Alligator mississippiensis: one gene and its partner. The protein of the gene in region 1 binds, or shares a complex with, the protein of each later gene. Links are inferred from orthologs where the notes say so. Each region holds a gene or a part of one and is shown in the gene's direction. Other genes may lie near its edges. The genes, in order: RASIP1 and RAP1B.

What was found.
Region 2: the proteins of RASIP1 (region 1) and RAP1B are in contact, whole or in part, in a crystal structure (PDB 5KHO), measured with the Homo sapiens proteins. The link is inferred for Alligator mississippiensis from reciprocal best matches to the Homo sapiens genes RASIP1 and RAP1B. Residues at the interface, in NP_060275.2 of Homo sapiens: Val147, Lys149, Ala156, Ser157, Gly158, Ala159, Asn160, Tyr161, Lys162, Ser163, Val164, Leu165, Glu181, Arg182; in NP_001010942.1 of Homo sapiens: Val24, Gln25, Asp33, Pro34, Thr35, Ile36, Glu37, Asp38, Ser39, Tyr40, Arg41, Glu54, Leu56, Phe64.

What each region holds. Positions count from the first base shown.
Region 1 is NC_081828.1:74,899,596-74,909,258, reverse strand, and holds the start of RASIP1 (ras-interacting protein 1), read left to right. Parts: upstream 1-5,869; 5' UTR 5,870-6,057; intron 6,058-9,034; 5' UTR 9,035-9,054; coding exon 9,055-9,188; intron 9,189-9,427; coding exon 9,428-9,663. Other genes in the region: cytochrome c oxidase subunit 6B2, read left to right, coding at 3,075-3,150, 4,066-4,194, 4,389-4,489, 4,748-4,801. UniProt on the Homo sapiens protein: Required for the proper formation of vascular structures that develop via both vasculogenesis and angiogenesis.
Region 2 is NC_081827.1:69,296,148-69,306,245, forward strand, and holds the start of RAP1B (ras-related protein Rap-1b), read left to right. Parts: upstream 1-5,603; 5' UTR 5,604-5,762; intron 5,763-10,098. UniProt on the Homo sapiens protein: GTP-binding protein that possesses intrinsic GTPase activity. Contributes to the polarizing activity of KRIT1 and CDH5 in the establishment and maintenance of correct endothelial cell polarity and vascular lumen.

The sequences.
Region 1 (9,663 bases):
AGAGGGACCATGAGTCAGGATTCCTAGTTTGTACTCCCCACTAGCTTAGTTCAGAAAATGAGAATTCCATTGCCAGGAACCTCTTGTGGTTTCAAAGTCTGTTGCTCCGATAGAGTGGACAGAGAGGGAGGCTTCCCCAACAAGGCCAGAGAGCCAGTGAGGCCACTATCCAGTACGTAGGACTACCTATTCTTGACTGCCAGGTCCCAATAGGATGCAAATTACTACCTAATTATGCTTAAAGCTGACCGCTGATTTTATTGCAAAGACACATCCTGTGGGCCACAGGGGGCCCCACAGATAAGCCCCCCTTTTTGGTGTAATTATGTTTCAAACCAGATTATTTTTCCTATTTTTGACAGAATTTTAATTGCAAATTATTGTGGGTTTGCTTTTTTTTCATTCAAAATCAGTTCTTGGCCATTTTCTCCTTAGATTCCTGCTAACATTCACTACATCTTTGACAGATTTTGGTAAACCCATTTTTTAAAATCCTTCTTTGGTTAAACTGATTTTTTCCTACCTGTTTTTGCTTGCTTGAACAAAAAAGAACACATTTTGTTGAAAATTTGCAATTTTTTTCTTGCAAAAAACACCCCAAAATATATATATACACTCCACCTCCAACACTCTGCCAAGTGGCCCTTGTGGTTCACTTGGCAGCTCAAAGCACACTAAAAACCTGTTACAGTTCACACTGCGCAACCGCGTGCCCATACACCTATCTCTATACTCATACCCCCACCCACTGCCCTCCTCAGAGGGTCTACTCCTGAAAAAGTCTATGCCAGACCCCTCTCCAGATGAGGTCTGCCATTTCTCTCCCATCATCCTCTTCTGTCTTCCTATAATACCAGTACATTTTGCTTAGTCCCATTTTAATACAGTCCTCGACTATGGGGTCTGAGTGTCTGTTTATGAACAGGTTCCTGGTTTTCCACAGTGCGTACCTGAAGCAGGATATGAACTGGTCGAAGTGAGCTGTTGGGGTCCCTTGCTGTCTGGTCAGGTGCCAGTAGAGAGCCACTTCCCTGGTCAGATTTCTGAAACCTGTCACCACCAGGAGGAGCACACGGACTTTCTTCCACACCTCCTTGGCATATAGGCAGTTCCAGAAGAGGTGGTCAATCCTTCCTGCCTGCCAGCAGCAGGTGGGCCTCAGGCAGTTTGATGGACCTCTCTGCCCTGCACTGTTTTTCTGTGCCTGCACGGGGAGTGCTTGGTGGGCTGCTTGCCAGTTCAGGTCTCTGTGCTCCTTCTGCAGGTCTTTGTGGAAGATTCGCTCCCACATGGCCTGGCAGCTCTCACCAGGTAGTAAGCCTACTGGTGATGTGGTGTCTCTTGCCCTTGCCACCTCCCATATCTTGCAGTGGTTCACCAGGGTTGCTAGGGTAGCATCGTGCAGCTTGTATTTCTCTTGAAAGCACTTCAGGATCTTGTAAAACCATAGGGAAAGCATAGTCCACAGCTCCTGTTAGTTGTTGTGTGCACTTGCCACTTGCAGCAACTGCCCTGCAAAATGCTTAACAAAGCTGGCTTTTTTAGATTCCACCCCTGTTGCCATTTTGCAAACCTGGCTCATATATTTGGCCCAGAGGAAGAGAAGGACGCGTGGCATCCCTCTGCCTCTGGACTGTTTTGGTTTGTACTGCTTGGCCCTCGCCACTTTCTCCCATGTGGAGTTCCAAAAGAAAACACACATGGCTCTCTGGATTCTGCGAACGACTTGTTCTGATGGGGGAAGACTAGAGCGGTGTGTCTAGGCAGGAGCAACGTCTTCATCAGCGCCATCTGCCCCTGCATTGACAGGCAGTGTGATTGCCATAGCCCCAGCCTCTGTCTGGCCTTGGCTTCCATCTTCTCCCATGCCCTCGGCCCCGCCAGCTCTGGGTCAAACTCCACCCCGAGGATCTTTACCCCTTCCTGGGGGATGGAAACCCCCAGGAGTGGTCCTCGAGCTTACCCAGGAAAATCTGCAATGGAAACAAAGGCTCCTCACTGCAGTGCCCTGTCTGTAACAGCAGCTTCATTCTTTGGGTGAATCTGTCCATCCCTTCTGGGGCAGTGGGCAAGCAGGGACTCAAGTTCATACAGAAGCTAAGACTGCGACACAGGCATAAGGTTACAATGGCTGAGCATGTCTGCTTTCCTTCCTCACAGCAGAAAGAAAGCGCAAGCTGCAAAGCAAAACTAACTGCATGGGATGCCAGGTACGGCTGGGTTTTCTGTTCTTTAAGCACTTGGCCACCCAAACACCCTCTCTCTAGTCAGCTCCTTGTTCAGTGCATTTGTATCTTGAAATCCAGCTGATACCAGAGCCTACCATGATACTGGGTGCTGTCTTGCCCTGCTCTGAGACCCATTGTAGACTATCCTGCAAAGCACCCATTACTGGGAACATCCCACACAGCCAGTGCTCCTGCCCCATGACCTCCCACAGCACCCCTAGCTGGGATTCAGGCAAGTTATTCTTAGGTGGTCCCTCCTGGATGATAGTGGTTTACTGTCTTACAGGGACAAAAGGATGGAGGAAGGCTTGGATGGGTGAATGCACTGCCCTGCCATGGATTTTCTATAGGCGGGACAGGCAGGAGCAACCCTGTCAGAAGAACCCAGAGGGGCCCAGCTGCTGCAAGCTCAAGAAGCCAGATAGATAGAAGCAGGACCAGTTCTCATATTAAATACTTTCACTGTGAAACTGTTACACCACTGGACCCATGGGCCGGCTGCAGGGCTTTTGGGGGAGTTGTGCTGTGAGAGGTTAGCTGCACAGGGGGCACCTGGCTGCAAGGAGCAGGCCAAAGATGGGGCATCATGCTTGGAGGAGCTGGGAAAGGGGAGCCATGTTTGGGGAGCAGAGCAGGGAGCGTCATGCTGTGGGGAGTGGAGGGGGGGCAGGTACGCTCTCCCCTCTGCTGGGTCTCAAGGGAGTGGGGGAGTCTGTATGGCGGCTTGTGGGGGGGGGGGGGGTGCTGGGAAGGTCCTGGGAATAGTCTTGTAGTGGGCTGTGCACACATGGGGGGGAAGCAGGGTGGGCGTGGGGTAGCCCTCATTTCAGAAAGCTGTGGGAAACCATGGATCCCCTGTGTGGGGGCTGGGGCAGCTGCTCGGGCATGGAGAGACGCCATCAGGACGTCATGGGGGTCTGGGGTAAGCAGTGAGGGGAACAAGGGAGTTCTGTGGTGGGGCGTGGGGAGAGCCCACGAGTTGGGCTTGTGGAGGCTGGGGGGAAGAGGGGATGTGAAGGGCCAGGGAGGGGACAAGCTGAGTGTTGGGGTAGGTGGTCAAGGGGCAGCAGTAGGGGTTGGGGGCTGAGGAGGGCAGTTGTGGGGGCTGTGGAGTCCTGGTGTGGGGGCAGGGCTTTGGAGGGAAATCGTGGGGGAGCTGAGGGGGGCCATGGTTGCGGCAGGGGGAACCCTGAGGTGTGGGACTGTAGTGAAACTGAGGACGGCGACTCCCTGCTGTGGTTGGCACAGCAGGAGCTGGTGCTGCCCTGGGCTGCTGCGCTGCTGCGCCTCTGGCAGGGATTGTTGTGGGGGGAGGCCATGTTTGGGGGGCACCTGGGTGGGGTCTTGGGGCAGGGAGCGACTGCCCCTCCCTGTGCTCTGATTGGCTGAGCAGCCCCTGCCCCCCACAAGGAGCGCCCCCCTCCCCTGCCCCCCAGAGGGTTCCATGGCAGTTGCCAGTGATGGGTGGGGCTGGGACATGCCCTGGGCTCTGATAGGCTGGGACATGCCTTGGAGGGAAAATTCAGCCAATAGGATCTGGGGGGGCTAGATCCCTCCCTGCTCCTGCACCTCAGTCAGCAGTGTGACTCCCCCAAGGCAGGGTGGGGGTGTGGGTGAGGAGCAGGGAAGGGGGCCATGGTCTTGTGGGGGAGGGGTAGGGGGGGCACAGGGGCGTCACACCCTCCCCTTCCCTGCTGGGGGCCCCGGGCCAAGGCCCTAGTGAGCATCATCAGGGGAGGGGGCTCTGGGTGGCCGGGGTGAGTCATCAGGATGCCTGGGTCCTCTCCCAGCTCTGGGGGGCAGCAGGCCTGAGCTGTCCTACCTCCTCCCTTCCCAGAATTCCCAATGGTTGGGCACAGTGAGATGCGGCCCCCAGCGGGGCCCCAGGGCAGCTACCTGACAGCGCCCTTCGACCCCCGCTTCCCCAACACCAACCAGACCCGCAACTGCTACCAGAACTACCTGGGTGAGCAGCGGCCATGTCGGGCAGGACCGCGGGGCCTTGGTGGGGGAAGGGGCTGGGAGCCAAGACACCTGGGCTCTGTTTCCAGTGCGGGGAGGAGGTGGGGGCAGGAGTGGGGGCGCGGGGGTTGGGCAGTGGCAGCCCCACCTGGTGCCCCTTGCAAGTGGTGAGGAGCTGTGGCGGGGCTGTCCTTGCAGACTATCATCGCTGCATGAAGGTCCTGACAGCAAGGGGCAGGGACACCAAACCGTGCCTGTGGTATTACCGTGTCTTCACGTCGCTGTGCCCCTTATCCTGGGTAGGTAGGGGATGAGGCAGGGCCACCAGTTCTTTGCAAAGAGGCTGCCCCCCACTCCACCACCCCCTGAGCTGGCCATTCCCCGACCCTGGATCAGAGTCACTGCTCCCTAGAAGGGAAAGGACCCTGGCCCTGTCCTCCCTCCCTGAGCCAGATCAGGTCAGGTCAGGTGCTGTGGGGGGGAGAGGGACTGCAAGGGGGTGCTTTCTCTGGGTCACCATCCCCTCCTGTCCCTGAACAGCTGTCCATCTCCCCCAGGTTCAGCACTGGGATGAACAACAGGAAAAAGGGAGCTTCGCTGGCAAGATCTAAACCCCAATGTGCCTACCTGAGGGGCAGAATAGTTGGCCATCAGCCTTGTGTGTCCTTCTCTTTGTCCTACCCTTCCAACACAGCCCTCAGTCTCTCTCAGTGGGCTTGCAATAAACCCTTGTTGCATTTCAGGTCTTACTGAAGTCTGTTTGTCTTGCCCGCCCCCCCACCCCGCTCTCAGCCAAGGACAATTCTCTTCTTGCCAAGGTGGCAGGGTTATAACAGAAGGAGGAGGCTATGGGTTCAGTCCCCACCCAGGGGACCTCCACAGCCAGCACATCCCAAATCCATCACTGGGGTATTGGGGGCAGAATGGGACCCCCTGGGTGGTGGTCATAGGCAGTGTAGGAGCAGTGAGGGAGCTGCTACAAGTCTTTGCTATGCTGACAGCCTCCCAATCACGCCAAATGCAGTCATGCACATCCTGGGTTGTAGGGAGCATGTGCACACAGCCAGCAGGCCTGCCCACTGGCAACCTGTCCAGCCCTTCAGAGCCCTGTGTCAACTATATGCATTGCATGCTTCAACATGCATGCTTTAACACACACCGTATGTCTCCAAATGCGAACTGCATGCTTCAGTACATGCATTGTGTGCCTTGCCATATGCACTGCCTCTGAACACCTCAATATGGACTCACACTACAAACCTCTCTGCAGCCTGCACTGCATACCACTTCAACTTACACACATACACAAGCAAACCCACAGGCTACACAGCACCATGACATTCACACACATGATGTAAATGGCTTCACCAACATGCAGGCGCTCTGCGCACCCTCTTGACTCTCTTATACGGATACACTGCTGACCCCTGCACAAGAACACTTGCACTTCACACTCTGACAACATGCATGCCCAACATCTCCTTGCTTGGGCTCTCTGGCCCTGAAATCCCTTTGGCTCTGCCCCTGCCCCTTCTCCCTCCCACCCTATAGCCAAAGCCCTTTGACTGGGCATGAATCTGTGCTCCCAGCCCCCGCCCTGGCGCAGAGGCTTGGCTTCCTGGCTGGCTCGCCTTTTCCTGCCCCCCACCCCCTAACTACACTGGCCGTGTGAGTGTGAAGGGAAATCCGTGCTCAGTGACACGGGAGAGCTGAAGGCAACGCATCAAGACAAAGGCTGGGAGCAAGGCTGAGGTTTCAGCCGCCACAGGGCCATGGAGCTGCCCAGGGAGCACTTGGAGGATCTCTGAGAACAGGGACTCGACCACGGTGCCCACGCTGGGCACAGCCAGATCCCGGACAGCACTGGGTAACTTCTCCCATCTATATGATTTGGGGGGAGGAGGGGTGTGAACTTTAAGGCAGGTGGAAACCCTGGGAGCTGGGCCACTGAACCTTGAGACAAACATCCCAGAGACTGTGCTGGGCCAAGCTGGGAGAGACTCAAGAGTACTCATTCCCACTTCTCTCTCTCTAACTCACCAGGCTCCATTCCCTTCCCTGAGCCTGGACAGAACCTAAAAGTGTCCAGGCTCTCAGCTCCCCTCCCTAGTAGCTGGGATGGAACCCAGGCCCCCAACCCCACCCCAGTTCTAATCCTAGACTCCACTTCCCTTCCAGAGCCATGACTGAACCCATCCTGGCTCCCATCCCCCTACTCTAACTTTAGACCCCACTGCCAAGCTGGAAAAGAACCCAGACATCCTGGCTATCAGCACCCTACTCTAACCCACCAGTCTCCATTTGCCTCCATGAGATGGGATAGAACTCAGGTGTCCTGCCTGCATAGCCAGGCCACTTTGTAGATTTACACTGGGGTCCCTGGTGCCAAGCCCCATCGCCCAGGCATGAGGACAGTGTTTGGGTCAGCTCAGATCTGAACATTCCCAGAACTCCTTCCTAGCTTATGGATCCTATAGCCCTCACACTCCCCTGCTTCAAATCCAGTTGTCCCTGGGGCAGAACATAGTTGGGTGGGAATTATAATGGGGCACACACCACTTCCCATTGACTTTTTTCTGTCCTCCCTTCCCCCCACGTTAGGTGAGAGCTCCACATTGATGAAGCAGTGGTAGAAAGGAACAAGGCCGAAAGGCATTAGGTCTGTTTCAGCCCCCATGAGGATGAGGGCTGGTGGACAGGACTCCTGGGTTCTGTCTGAGCTCAGTGGGATCCAGTGGGGTTAGATCAGAGGGACCATGAGTCAGGATTCCTGGTTTGTACTCCCCACTAGCTTAGTTCAGAAAATGAGAATTCCATTGCCAGGAACCTCTTGTGGTTTCAAAGTCTGTTGCTCCGATAGAGTGGACAGAGAGGGAGGCTTCCCCAGCAAGGCCAGAGAGCCAGTGAGGCCACTATCCAGTACGTAGGACTACCTATTCTTGACTGCCAGGTCCCAATAGGATGCAAATTACTACCTAATTATGCTTAAAGCTGACCGCTGATTTTATTGCAAAGACACAACCTGTGGGCCACAGGGGGCCCCACAGATAAGCCCCCCTTTTTGGTGTAATTATGTTTCAAACCAGATTATTTTTCCTATTTTTGACAGAATTTTAATTGCAAATTATTGTGGGTTTGCTTCTTTTTCATTCAAAATCAGTTCTTGGCCATTTTCTCCTTAGATTCCTGCTAACATTCACTACATCTTTGACAGATTTTGGTAAACCCATTTTTTAAAATCCTTCTTTGGTTAAACTGATTTTTTCCTACCTGTTTTTGCTTGCTTGAACAAAAAAGAACACATTTTTTTTCTTTTTTTTGGGGGGGGGGTGGAATCCCTTGGAGGAGCTGGGGGTCCTGCTGCTGTGACAAAGCATCTAGAAAGTGGACAGTTAATGCTCCTTGGGCTACAGCACAGCTTCCCCAGTCAGAGCCAGAGAGAAACAGGTGCCCTGGTTCCTAGATCCCCTGCTTGAACCCACTAAATTCCACTCCATCCCAGAGCTGTGGAAGAACCCAGGAATCCTGACTCCCAGCCTCTTGCTCTAACACACCAGATGGTTTAGAACAGGGGTTTGGGAGCCAGGATGTCTGGGTCCCACTGGGGTGCAGTGGGGCTGCCCCAAAGCTCCAGGCTGCTTAGGTCGCCAGGAGGAAGAAGGCTGTGTCCTCTAGACACCCATGATATGTTCACTTGCTATGGCTTCCTACAGATGTGATTGGGGTGACATAGTGGGTGTTAACTCACCCTCCCTGACAACTTCACAGGGAGGGGCTCCAAAGAGAACTCCAGGTGTCCTGGCCTTCAGGTCTGTACTTTGACCACTGGGCAATGAGTTGGTCCAGTGACTTAGAGCTGGGTGCTGGACTCATGGCTTCTATTCCAACATTGGCAGAGGAATGAACTCTGGTGGGGTCTGCGAAGGGACTGGGAGTCTGCCCTCCTGGGCTCTAGTCAGGAAGTAGTATGTAATATGTTAAAGAAGGGGCTGAGATTCTGGATTCCTGGGTTCTGTCTATGGTTCTTTGTTAGACTTTGAGCTCTCTTCTTCCCCTACCCTCCCATCAGTGCCCTGCCCTCATCTATATTCGCTCATGCTTATGGCCTCAAAAGGCTGGAAATGCCATTGCAAGAATTAAGAACAGAGATCTTTGAGTGGAAACAGAGGGGTAAGGCACTGCATGTGCGCACGCCTCTGTCTGTATGTCACTGTGTCTGTGCATGTGGCGTTGTGATTGGGTGTGTCATGGCACAGATAACTGTGTATCTGTCATTGTGGAAATGTGTTACTGTCACTGTGATACTGTCAATGTGATACTGTTTTTCTTTATCTCTGTTAGTGTGCATTCAGTGTAATTTAAGTCTGTCTGTGCATTTCATTGTGTCACTGTGTGATTGTGTGTCATGCTTATGCGTTCGTATCACAATGAGTATCATGTCTGGATTTGCATCACTGTGTGCCCTTTCTCATGATATGTGTATCACTTTGTGCGTATGTCACTGGGTGATTGTATATGTATACAACTATGTGTTACTCTGATTATAGATGCGTATTGCTGAATTGGTACATGTCATCATGTGATTGCATATGTGTCACTGTGCATGTATGTTCCTATCATTGCATATGTATAGCTCTGATATAATGTGTCATTTTGTGACTTCATCCATGTGTCCCTGTGCACATATATTGCTGCGTGATTTCCTATGTGTGTCCATGTGCATATGATCATCCTTGTGTGTGTTACTGTGTGACTGCTTATGTATGTCATTGTGTGATTACACATAAGGTTCCTATGCGTGTGGCTGTGTTGCTGCCTGTTTGTCATGCTGCTGCCTCCCGCAGGTGCTGACAGAGCTGGCACCATGTTCCCAGAGGAGCGGAAGGATGGGAGCCCGCGCTTCGGGAAACTCCACTTCCCGGTTGGCCTTTGGATCAACTCACCCAAGAAGCACTTTGCCAAGATGAGCCGCAGATGGCCGAGCGTGGGCTCTGTTAAGTAAGAGCCCCCCCATAACTGCCCCATCCCTGCCCTAGACCAGCACCATAGGCCCATCTACCCTGGTTTCCTGCCCCCCTTTGTGCCCTGCATCAACTCCACATGCCCATCTATCCTGGCATCCCACCCCTCCTTGCTCTAGATCAGACTCACCAGCCCATCTATCTCAGCATCCTAGCCCCTCCTCACCCCACAGGCCCATCTAACAGGACCCAATATTCCACCTTCTCCCTTTTCAGATCCACCTCCTCTGATACAGCAAGCCGGGGCAGTGAGACAGTAGAGCTGCGCCCACCAAGCAAGACGAAGCCAAGCCGGCACAAGCGGCTGTCTAACCTGTTCCACCGCAGTGTGAGCAGCACGGGGGTGGGCACAGCAGGTGCTGGTGGGCGCTGGGCTAGTGAGAAGAAGCTATCTGACCTCATTGACCCGGTACCCGAGGACCTGGTGGAGCTTTCAAGCCAGCGCAACCTGC
Region 2 (10,098 bases), on another chromosome or scaffold:
GAGGTAGGGGAGGCTGGGGCCAGCACTGGACTGGCCCCAGCAACCTTACCTTGGGTCCAGAGGGCCTCCTGGGGCTGCAGCAGGGGCAATTCTGCTGCTCGGCACATGGGTGGCAACTGAAGTGTGGCTCTGGGTGGCCAGGCTCTGGTTTTGGGTGGCATATGCTGTGCCTGTGTGCACCACCCTTATTTCTTTTTGTGATGGGTTTTTTTGGCCCTGGCATCTCCCTTCCCCCCCCCCGCTTGCTCCTACCTTGAAGCATAGAGAACACTTGACTGTGCGGTATGTGGTACCAAAGACATGTTTGTGGTGCCACATACTGCACGGCTGCGCTTGTCTGGACACAGCCCTAAAGTGCATTTTAGGCATCTAAATCCAAGTGAATTATCCAGAAAAACCCAGCCTGACCATTAGGGGTTTTAAACCTGAAAGGTCATAAGAATCTAAAGGCACGTCTACAGCACAAAACATGGTGCTAATTAAACCACCCATGGAGCCAGGCAAGGCTACATTACTTCTAGTTTGGGAGGTAACGCACATGTAACAGCATGCAGAGCACACTGCTGCATCACATGGTAAGTCTGAGGTGTAAACTAGATATGGCCTCTCAGGGCAGTGCCCTTATCACTGGACTGCAGTCATGCTTCCTCTATATCTGGCTACAGTAATCATATTCCTTTCTGAACAGTGGCACAGATTTAAAGGAAAAGCTGGAAAAAGGCCCTGTCTCAACTAACCCTGGCAGTTAGGTTAATCTCTTGTGATGTGGGAAATGTAAGTTTGAATCCTCCCAGTTGATATGGTACTAGACATCTGGGCAAGTGCTGTACTCAATAGGTTATTAAGAGGCCTGCAACCACCACCATTAACATCATAAAAATGAGTGACACTAAGGGACCACTTGGATGTTTGAATCCAAATCCTAGTCTCATGTAGATATGCAAATCAAGGAGAGAGGAAAGATTTGAGACACGTTTCTTTCTTCGGTGCATAGGCATCCTCTCAACTCAATGAATTGCTATTGTGAATCCCATTCCTAGGTTCCTAATTCTTCCCCACTCCAGTACCCAAGCACCTAAAAGTTAGACATGGCGATGCTGAGGCCTAAATCCCTCTATAAATCTGGCTCTGTGTTCACTAATAAAACTGTTATCACTTTCTTGAGAATTGGAGTGTTTGTTCCCACCATAACACCACAATCTGCTCTCTTAAACTGAGGTTTCAAGCTAGGAATTCAGCCCTTCATTTCACTCACAAAACAAGGATTTTCCTTCTTCTAAAAGCAAAGAATCTACCCAGAAAGAGCAAGTGATATTTTCATTCCCTTTGGGACAAATTTATAGAAAGTCCACAGTAGTTAACTGGCAAGCAATTGTCTTAATATTCTTGGACACGTGGTCATTAAACTTCAGAGTTGCTTGCAAAGAACAGTGAGCACTTCTGCTATTGCCTCAAATTTTGGGGCAATCTTTTGGGCTGTCAACAGTGTGCCTTAGCGCACATGCCACCTCAGCCCCTGTATTTAGGTGTAATGAAGGTGAAATATACAGACAGCACTACATTTTGTCCTGCTACGGCCTTGCAGCTTTACTGAGAATAATAACAATAAAGTTAGAAAAGGTGCCCGGGGGTAACTCAGGGATATGCTGCTAACCTTTCATCAAGGAGCTCTTTAAGAACATATTCCCCTGTGTCCCCAAAAGTCCATCCATTTCATACTCTCCTCTCTGCCCAAAATAATCTATCAAGTCCACATTTTACCCACTGCAGACCTGAGAATACAGATGCAATGGCAGAACAGTGGTAGTATCTTACTTTGGCTGTAGAAACATGAGTTCAAGCCTTGCTCTGTGCTAAAGAAAGTCTTCAGTTGACTCAGCTGTAAATGGGCATCTGATCCTTCAGACTACATAATCAAAAGCAGTTGACTGATGCTGGCTGCCTGAACTGGCATGCTTTAGCCACATTACTTTATGGGCTGTTAGGCACAGGAAGAACTTTGACCATAGCAAATCCACTGAAGCTTCTAGTTAAATCTATCAAGATTCCCATGTTCAAATACATCAGTCTTTTCTCTCCCACCCTCTCCATGAGTCCTCCTTTCTAGAACATTATAGAATATTCCCTATATGAGCCTTGCAGTTTTTCTTAACTATAGCAATGGAAATATTAGGTAGTTTCCCTTGTAGCATGTAGTAGAAGTATTTGTAGGTAGGATGTTCTGCTGCCTCTGAGAGTTGGCTGGTTGTGTAGCAATAGATCATTTTGCTGGTTGAGTAGCAGTAGATCATTTTGAGCCCCCAAACTGAGTGATACTTAGAAAAAAAGGCATATAGGGACCTTTGGTAACAGGGAAATGAGTCTCTCTTGACATGGCACTTGCATGCAATGGTTAGGGAACATAAGGTTCTGCTTCTTTCTCAATAACAGTTCTCCAGAGAAAATATGATGTAACCCATCCTAGCAGTACTAGGGAGAAAGGCACAGAAAAAGGACATTCCCTCAGCAATAATTTATATCTCATAGTGGGTACATCCACACTAGAGCAGCTGATGGAGTTGAATATGAAACATTTAACAAGCTGAGCATTTAGCAAACAAACTGGTTGCCTCCCCCCCAAAACCTGTTCACCATGACCACAGTAAATAGAATCACAGACGGTGAGGGTTGGAAGGGACCTCAGGAGGTCATTTAGTCCAAAACCCTGCTCAAAGCAGGACCATCTCCAACTAGATCATTCCAGCCAGGGCTTTGTCAACTCGGGCCTTAAAAACCTCCAAGGATGGAGATTCCACCACCTCTCTAGGTAACCTTTTCCAGTGCTTCACTACCCTCCTAGTGAGACAGTTTTTCCTAATATCCAACCTAAACTTCCCTTGCTGCAACTTGAGACCATTGCTCCTTGCTCTGTCATTTGCCACCAGTGAGAACAGTCTAGCTCCATCCATAGAGCCACGTGCAATTAGAGCCACGCGCATGATCAGAGGTCAGGAAAACAGACCTTATGACGACAGGCTGACAGCCATGGGACTGTCTGAAAAAGCGCAGGCTCAGGGGTGATCTGATGGCCACCTATAAGTTTATCAGGGGTGTTCACCAGGATCTGGGTGAACATTTGTTTACCAGAGTGCCCCAAGGGATGACAAGGTCAAACGGTTATAAAATCCTGCAAGACTGTTTCAGGCTAGACATAAGGAAGAATTTTTTTACTGTCCGAGTCCCCAGGGTCTGGAATAGCCTGCCATTGGAGTTGGTTCAAGCACCTACTTTGAATACCTTCAAGAGAAAATTGGATGTTTATCTTGCTGGGATCCTGTGACCCCAGCTGACCTCCTGCCCCTGGGGCACAGGGCTGGACTTGATGATCTTCCGAGGTCCCTTCCAGCCCTAATAGCTATGAAATCTATAAAATCTTTGGAAATAACCTTCAGTTAGTTAAAAGGTGCTATCAAATTCCCCCTCAGTCTTCTCTTCTCCAGACTAAATAAGCCCAGTTCCCTCATAAGTCATATGCCACAGACCCTTAGCCATTTCCATTGTGTTCTACTGGATTCTCTCGAACTTGTCCACATCCTTTCTAAAGTGGGGGGCCCAAAACTGGACACTCTGGATGTGGCTTCACCAGTGCAGAATAGAGGGAAAATAATCAAGGCAGGCCTAAGTATTTTTGTGAGGGCTGGCTGAGAGTTCTCAAACTTAAAGACTTCAGTTACCTTACAAGTGTGTGGTCGGGTGAGAAAGTAGACTCAGCCTTTTGCCACAAGTGAGATCCCACCTGCCTAATTCTTCTAACTGTAGTAATATTTAGCAATTTGCTGTTCTGAGTCCACATTATGCATGTCTATACTTCTTATTAGCTGATTTCTAAGAAACTCTGTTATGAAGCTTAAAGACTCTCACAAACTCCCTCAAGCTCTTCTGTGTCATCCATAGTATAATAAAGGGGCAAGATTTAACTCACTGTAAGGAAAAGTGCTGGGGTGGGTAAGGTATTATCATAATAGAAGCTAATTTGTAACCTTAACTATAGCCATTGCTACCTTTTTGCTGCGATTAGCAGTACTTCTATCAGCACTAAGTACTGCATTTATTATTTGTGATTAGTTCACGCAGGAAAGCTGTGGATGTTTTTTAAGAGAAGGCACAGGAAATGTATTTCAGTGTTCTCTTTTAATCTATTGGATGTTTGAGGGAGCTGATGGAAATTACACAAACAGGAATAAAAGTATGCTAAAACACAAATATTCTTATTTTAAGAGTAAATAATACAAAACTAATAGTCCCAAGAAACACAAGAGTATCATTTTACTTAAAATATCTCCTTGTAAATATATCTAGTTAAGCAACCAATATCTCCCAGATGAATGATTTTTACCCTGAAAAGTGGACCAGAAGGGAGCAACTGCCTATGTACTTAATTTCTCCCTGCCTGAGTCCCCTTTAATGATCTGCCATTTATAGGGATTCATTATCCAAGTGCTGTACACGGGATTAGCCATAAAAGACCGAGAAGAAATCTTATGACACTTTGTGGAGTTTTGGTGCAAGGGCCTAAGGAAAACTATTTTTAGAAGTAAAAAGAACTTGGTGACCTGAATGTAGATAGGACACGTAATGTGGACTTAGTCACTCTGCTGACTACTTTAGCCACTTCTTCTCTACGTTTATTCTACGTTGTATGGACTCCAAGCACTACAGCAAGTAATGCGCCACTACCATGCATTTGGAGGGAAATGTAATCTTTTTTTCCCCCCTTCTCTATCTCTGCGCTACAAACAGAAAGTGTGTGCTTCCTCCACACCCACTCCCTCTGCCAGCAGCGCCATTGCAACTTCCTGTCAGTTTCTCACTGTGGCAGACTTCCTCTGAATAAGTGTTATCTGCCATGGCATATTAACTGTTTGCTCGCTACTGAGCATTTCCCAGAAGAGCTGTCTTCTTTATTTTTAACACTTACTCTTCCAACCCATTCTGATCTGGAGAGAAAAGGAGCCCTGGTGACTTTTGGGAAAAAAAAGGCATCTTCTATTATTTAATAGAAAATGAACGTATGTGGAGCAGGGAGAAGAGCCAAGACACGTTGCCGTTCTTTCCACATTAATAGATCCCCTGTGGATTTCGGTGGAGGCTGACCCTAGTTGTCAGGAGGCTTAGTAATGCAAGCAAAGAGCAATAGCGTTGTGTGGTTTCTGCTGCCATGTGGGCGAGCATCTGAGGTGCTTGAGAATCAGGGGCCTCGCACTTGTTTTTCTTACGCACGTTTCACAGGTTTTTGAGTCATAGAAGAGGCTCACATCCGTGGCTAGCAGGGGCGACCCGGTTACAGAGCAATGCTGCGGGTGTAGAATGAGGCCTTCCACCCAGGCCAGGCCAGGTCTCTGCCAGTGGGGTTCAGGACACGGGGGCACTTGCACCCATTGGGTGAGGGCCGGTCCCGCTGTCTGCAACCCTGACAGGCGATAGGGGAAGCTCTCCCGCCCGCTAGAACTAGGCGGCCGCAACACCGCCACCCCGCTGAGGGGAGGGCGCCGCGACAGCCTGCGCCTGCGCAGTGTGAGCCGGGGGTAGAGAGGTCACCCCCGCCCCCCGCGCGCTTCCTGCCCCGCCCCCAGGCCGCGCCGGGGACGCCAGAGCGAGGCTAGGCGTGTGGCGTCACGGCGGCGGCCTCGAGCCTCGCCCAGCAGCGGCAGCGAGTACGCGCGGGAGTGGCGCGTCCGGCCGGAGGCCACACGGGCAGCGGCAGCGGCGGTGCCGGCCGGTAGGTAGGCAGGCGGGGAGCGGGACCGGGACCGGGGCCGAGGGGGCCGCGATGGTAGGGGGGCAAGTGCGGGAACATGGCGGAGGCGGCCCCGGCCCGGCCCGGCGCCGCCGCCGCCCAAGTTGTAGCGGAAGCGGAAAGTTGCGAGGCGGCGGCGGGGCGGGGTCGGGCGGCGGCGCCCCGGCAGCCCGCGGCCCCGCCTAGGCTGGGCGCCCCTCCGCGGGGAGGGGCCCGCAGCTCCCTCCCGGCCGCGGGGTCCTGCCCAAGTTGCCGCGGGGTCTCCGCTCCCCCGTGCGCTATTGTGTGCGGAGCTGCGCCGAGCGGTGCCCTGCGGAGGGTCCCCCCGTCTCCCCTCCCCCCAGTCGCCTTCGCAGCCCGGATGTCGGGGGCAGCACGTCGGAGAGTCGTCGGGGCCTGAACAGACCCTGGCTCCGGAGCCCCCGCCGCGCCCCAGTGGAATAAGCCCCGGGCTGTGTTTAGGGCGTGTTAGGCTCTTGGCCAGCTCGAAGGGGGTGGCGGGCCACGAAACCTCTACCGATCTGCTGTGTATCGCCCTTTCCTGCAAGCTGTCCCTTTAAAGAAATAACGTCCGGGTCCAAAGGAAAACGCTTAAGCGTTTGTCATAGATATTGTCTGGTTCAGGCAGCTCTAACAATCTGGGTTGGGTTGTTTCTACAAAGTTTGCTTAAGTAAACCATAGAGGAATCATAAGTTGGGCTGGAACGGACCTACAGAGGTCATCATCTAGTCCAGCTTTTCTCAACTGGTAGGTCACGACCCAAAAGTGGGTCAGAAGAATATATGAAATGGTCACAAACAAACTTTAAAAACAGATTCTCCTTTAAAGGAGGAAAGTGTGGGAAACCATGCGTTTTCCCTTGCTGGCTGGCAGAGCTCCTGCCTGCAAGAGGCTGCTTGGGGCCCCCCACAGGCCCTACACAGCTACCCTTGGTTCCGCACGCTGGGGGCGGAAGGCACTCAGTTGAGACTGGCTATTGATGTTTGCAAATGGATCCTGGTCCAAAAAAGGATGACAATCACTGATCTAGGCCAAAATGTGATTGTACAGAACACCAGTCTCTTCTAGAGGAATTTTGCTGCCTTAAAGGTCTGGTTTCAGTTCCAACATGCATCAGCTCCACTTTCAAATGTTTTAGCAGTGAACTAGTGGACGGGGTGCTTTCCCAAGCTTTTTTTTTTTTTATAACGTAGGTTCACCTAAATATTTCTGTTCCAAAAAAAGATATTGGAAACTCATTTCTTAGTTATAACAAGAAATGTCCTGTAACAGAGATGCCCTAATTAAGTGTTGCTAACCTACTTGATGCATGTACTGTACAACAAATACTTGGATACAAGGCTGACACAGTTCCTTGTTATACTAGGTCATACTTCGAGGCTGCAAAGGGTTTTTCTACCCTTCAGTAAACTTCACAGTAATGGTTTCCTTAATTGTGCAATGGCTTCATGACTGACTTATGCCTTTGTTAAATGGAACCAGTGGAAGAAGTTAATTCAGGGTGCTTTTAAGTGCTTTTATCTACTTTGTTCAGGATTCTGGTTCCTTATTTCTCCTTTCACTGGGAAGAGTCTACAGTATAAAATGTATTCTTCCTTCTGGCTAGAACTGAGATTGCTAACTGATCAGTAAAATGCACCCTGGCTGCTGCTGTAACTGCTGGGTAGCAAAAACTTTGGCAGTGATATTGGCTGTTTGGTTAAAGCAGTTCATCTTCTCTAGGTTCCTGCCTATTGCAGGGACATGCCATCTAACGGTGTTAGGAGATTTCTGGAGGCTATAGACAGCCACGAGTCTTGAACTTAAGTTGTAATAGATACTGTAAGTATTCAAGCCTTGCTTGCATAATACCTCTTGCAATAAAATTGATCATGCTTAGGACTACTTGATCAGCCCTTCCCTCCTTACCCTACTCCTAGTAAAGACTAACTCAGCAATAATTTTTGACCTGTTACTTACAGGCTAGAACTATGCTATCAGTTCACTATTGCTAACTTGGAAAAAGTGTATTTCTGTCTTCAAGAATAAACCTGGAGTTTGCTTAGCAGTTTTCCTGGCTTCCCACTATTTTACATAGTCAGTCAGTCAGTCAGTCAGTCTCTCTTCCCCCCTTAAAAAGGCCTCTGTAAAAGAAACTGTGAAACTGACTTGAAAATATACAAGCTGAAGGAATAAAAGAGAAGAAAGTTATTTCCTTTCATGTGCCCTGGTTTTATATAGTGTTTGGTTCAGCTGCCAGGTCAGTATGGGCGGAAAGAGTATGTTGGATAGAACCGCGCAGTCTTTTTAGAACTCCACTGTCAGACAGTCCATCAAGACTGGCAAGGCTCACACCTACTTTAATCTCTGTTTCATGCTGTGAGAGCTTTATGTGTTAAGACAGGCTGAACCAAAAAGGAAAAGGGTCATTCTGGAGCAGTAGCTGTACAGGTACGAATCTGAGAGAGAGGGGAAATAGAACCTTTTCAGAGGATTGAGAGAAGGAAAAAGGATGTGCTGGAGTGTAGTTAGCTTAGTTAACATCTAGCAGTTCATAATGTTTACTAGGAATCTAAATGCAATCTCTCTCCTGTCATCACCGTGTGTACCTAAAGGATACTCTGTTGAAAACCCTCAGTTTGCTTCTTGTAAAAACTAAAATTCCTCAGACTGTCACAACTCTCAGTGGAAATTTCCCTGCCCTTTTTTAACTTAGAATAGATTTAGCAGTTCCTTTATTATGATAGCATTAGGTACATTTGGTGTGTGGTTGCATAGCTATTGCATGCATTTGGCATTAGGACCTATGTGCTTTGTGATCTCTGAGTTCCTGTTGAGTTAGGGCAGATACTGTCCAGCCAGATACACCAGAACCAAAGGCAGAGAGATTTTACACAATCTTCTTCCTGTTCTACAATGTTGAAGCATTATCTGAAATAACTTTCAAGTGCATGTGACGCCTCCTCTGGTCAGGTGTGTTTGAGTCAGGGCCTCAAAGACTCTCTAGATCTAGTTTTTCTATCTATTTCTCTTTTTTTAAGTTAGGTGAAATATCTTAAATGCTGTTCCAAGGAGTAAGTTGTTCAGCCTTTTCTGTGCCAGTTACTAATACCATGTTAAAGAGCATTGACTAAAACGTCTAGGATATGTTCTTAAAGAACCTTTTGAGTCTTTTTTTGTTTTTCCCTTGTGCTTATACAGAAACTGGCTGGTATCATTACAGTGGAATGACTATTCTCTTGTAGCTATACCAGTTAATTGCCATGTGTTAGACCAGCACTTAGCAAGGGCTACATGGTTGAAGCTATCTAGCGAAAATCAACATCCCTACTGAATGTATTATAGTAAAAGGCCCCTTTCCAAGATGAAGTTAAATCAGTTTTTTACAGAGCTGCTCATGCTGCGGGTGGGTTGGGTTGGGTTGGGAGTCCTTTCGTGGGACACAAAATTAATTTGTAGCTCATCTCTGTCATTCAAGAGCTGTTTTTGTTTACCAGTCTTGCCTTCTACTTTGACTCTATAATTCTTCTTACTCACCAGCTACACCCTCTGCCTGCTTGAGAACTTAAGGAAATTAGCTAACAGTTACAGGTTACTCTTTGGATTGAGTGAGGAGGGGAACCACATTCTGTGGTATCCCTCAATCTTATTTTGGATCCACAACTAGAAATCTGTATTGGAGTTGACTCTAGTTGAAGTGACTTCTGCTATGTAGCCAGGAAGAAAAAACTGCCCAGCTGAGCAGGTACATAGGGAGAAAGACCAGACAACAGATCAGGATAGCTTAGCTCAGGGGTTCCCAACCTTTTTATGCTGAGGACTGGCAGACTGTGGACCAGTAGTGACTGGCATACTGCGGGCAGGCAGCCAACCCTTTTTTATACTCGATATAAAAAAGGGTTGGCTGCCAATTTGCAGTATGCTTATCACTTCCAGTCTGTGGTTTGCTGGTCCTTGGTATGCTGGTCATTTCTGGTTCACAGCAGCCAACCCTTCTGCGGACCAGCAGCTAACCCTTCGTGGCCTGGGGGTTGGAAACCCCTGACCTAACTCTTCTATTGGATTTAGGGTTTTCTTTCCTAGGAATTGTGGCTGGGACCCTGCATTTCATGCCTCTTACATCTTACATGTACTGTGAGATTCCTGGGCTCCTTGTCCAGTTCTTCTAAACAAAGAAGGTTCTATGACAGTGGTGTTTTACTAGTAACTTCAAAACTGAATTAATGTGGCTAAATAATCTTAGAACTACACTGAAACTTCCTTTTTCACATAAGCTGTGATAGGTTTGGAGTTGTGTTGTAGCTGTGATGGTCCAGGGAATATGCAAGAAGCAACATTTTTT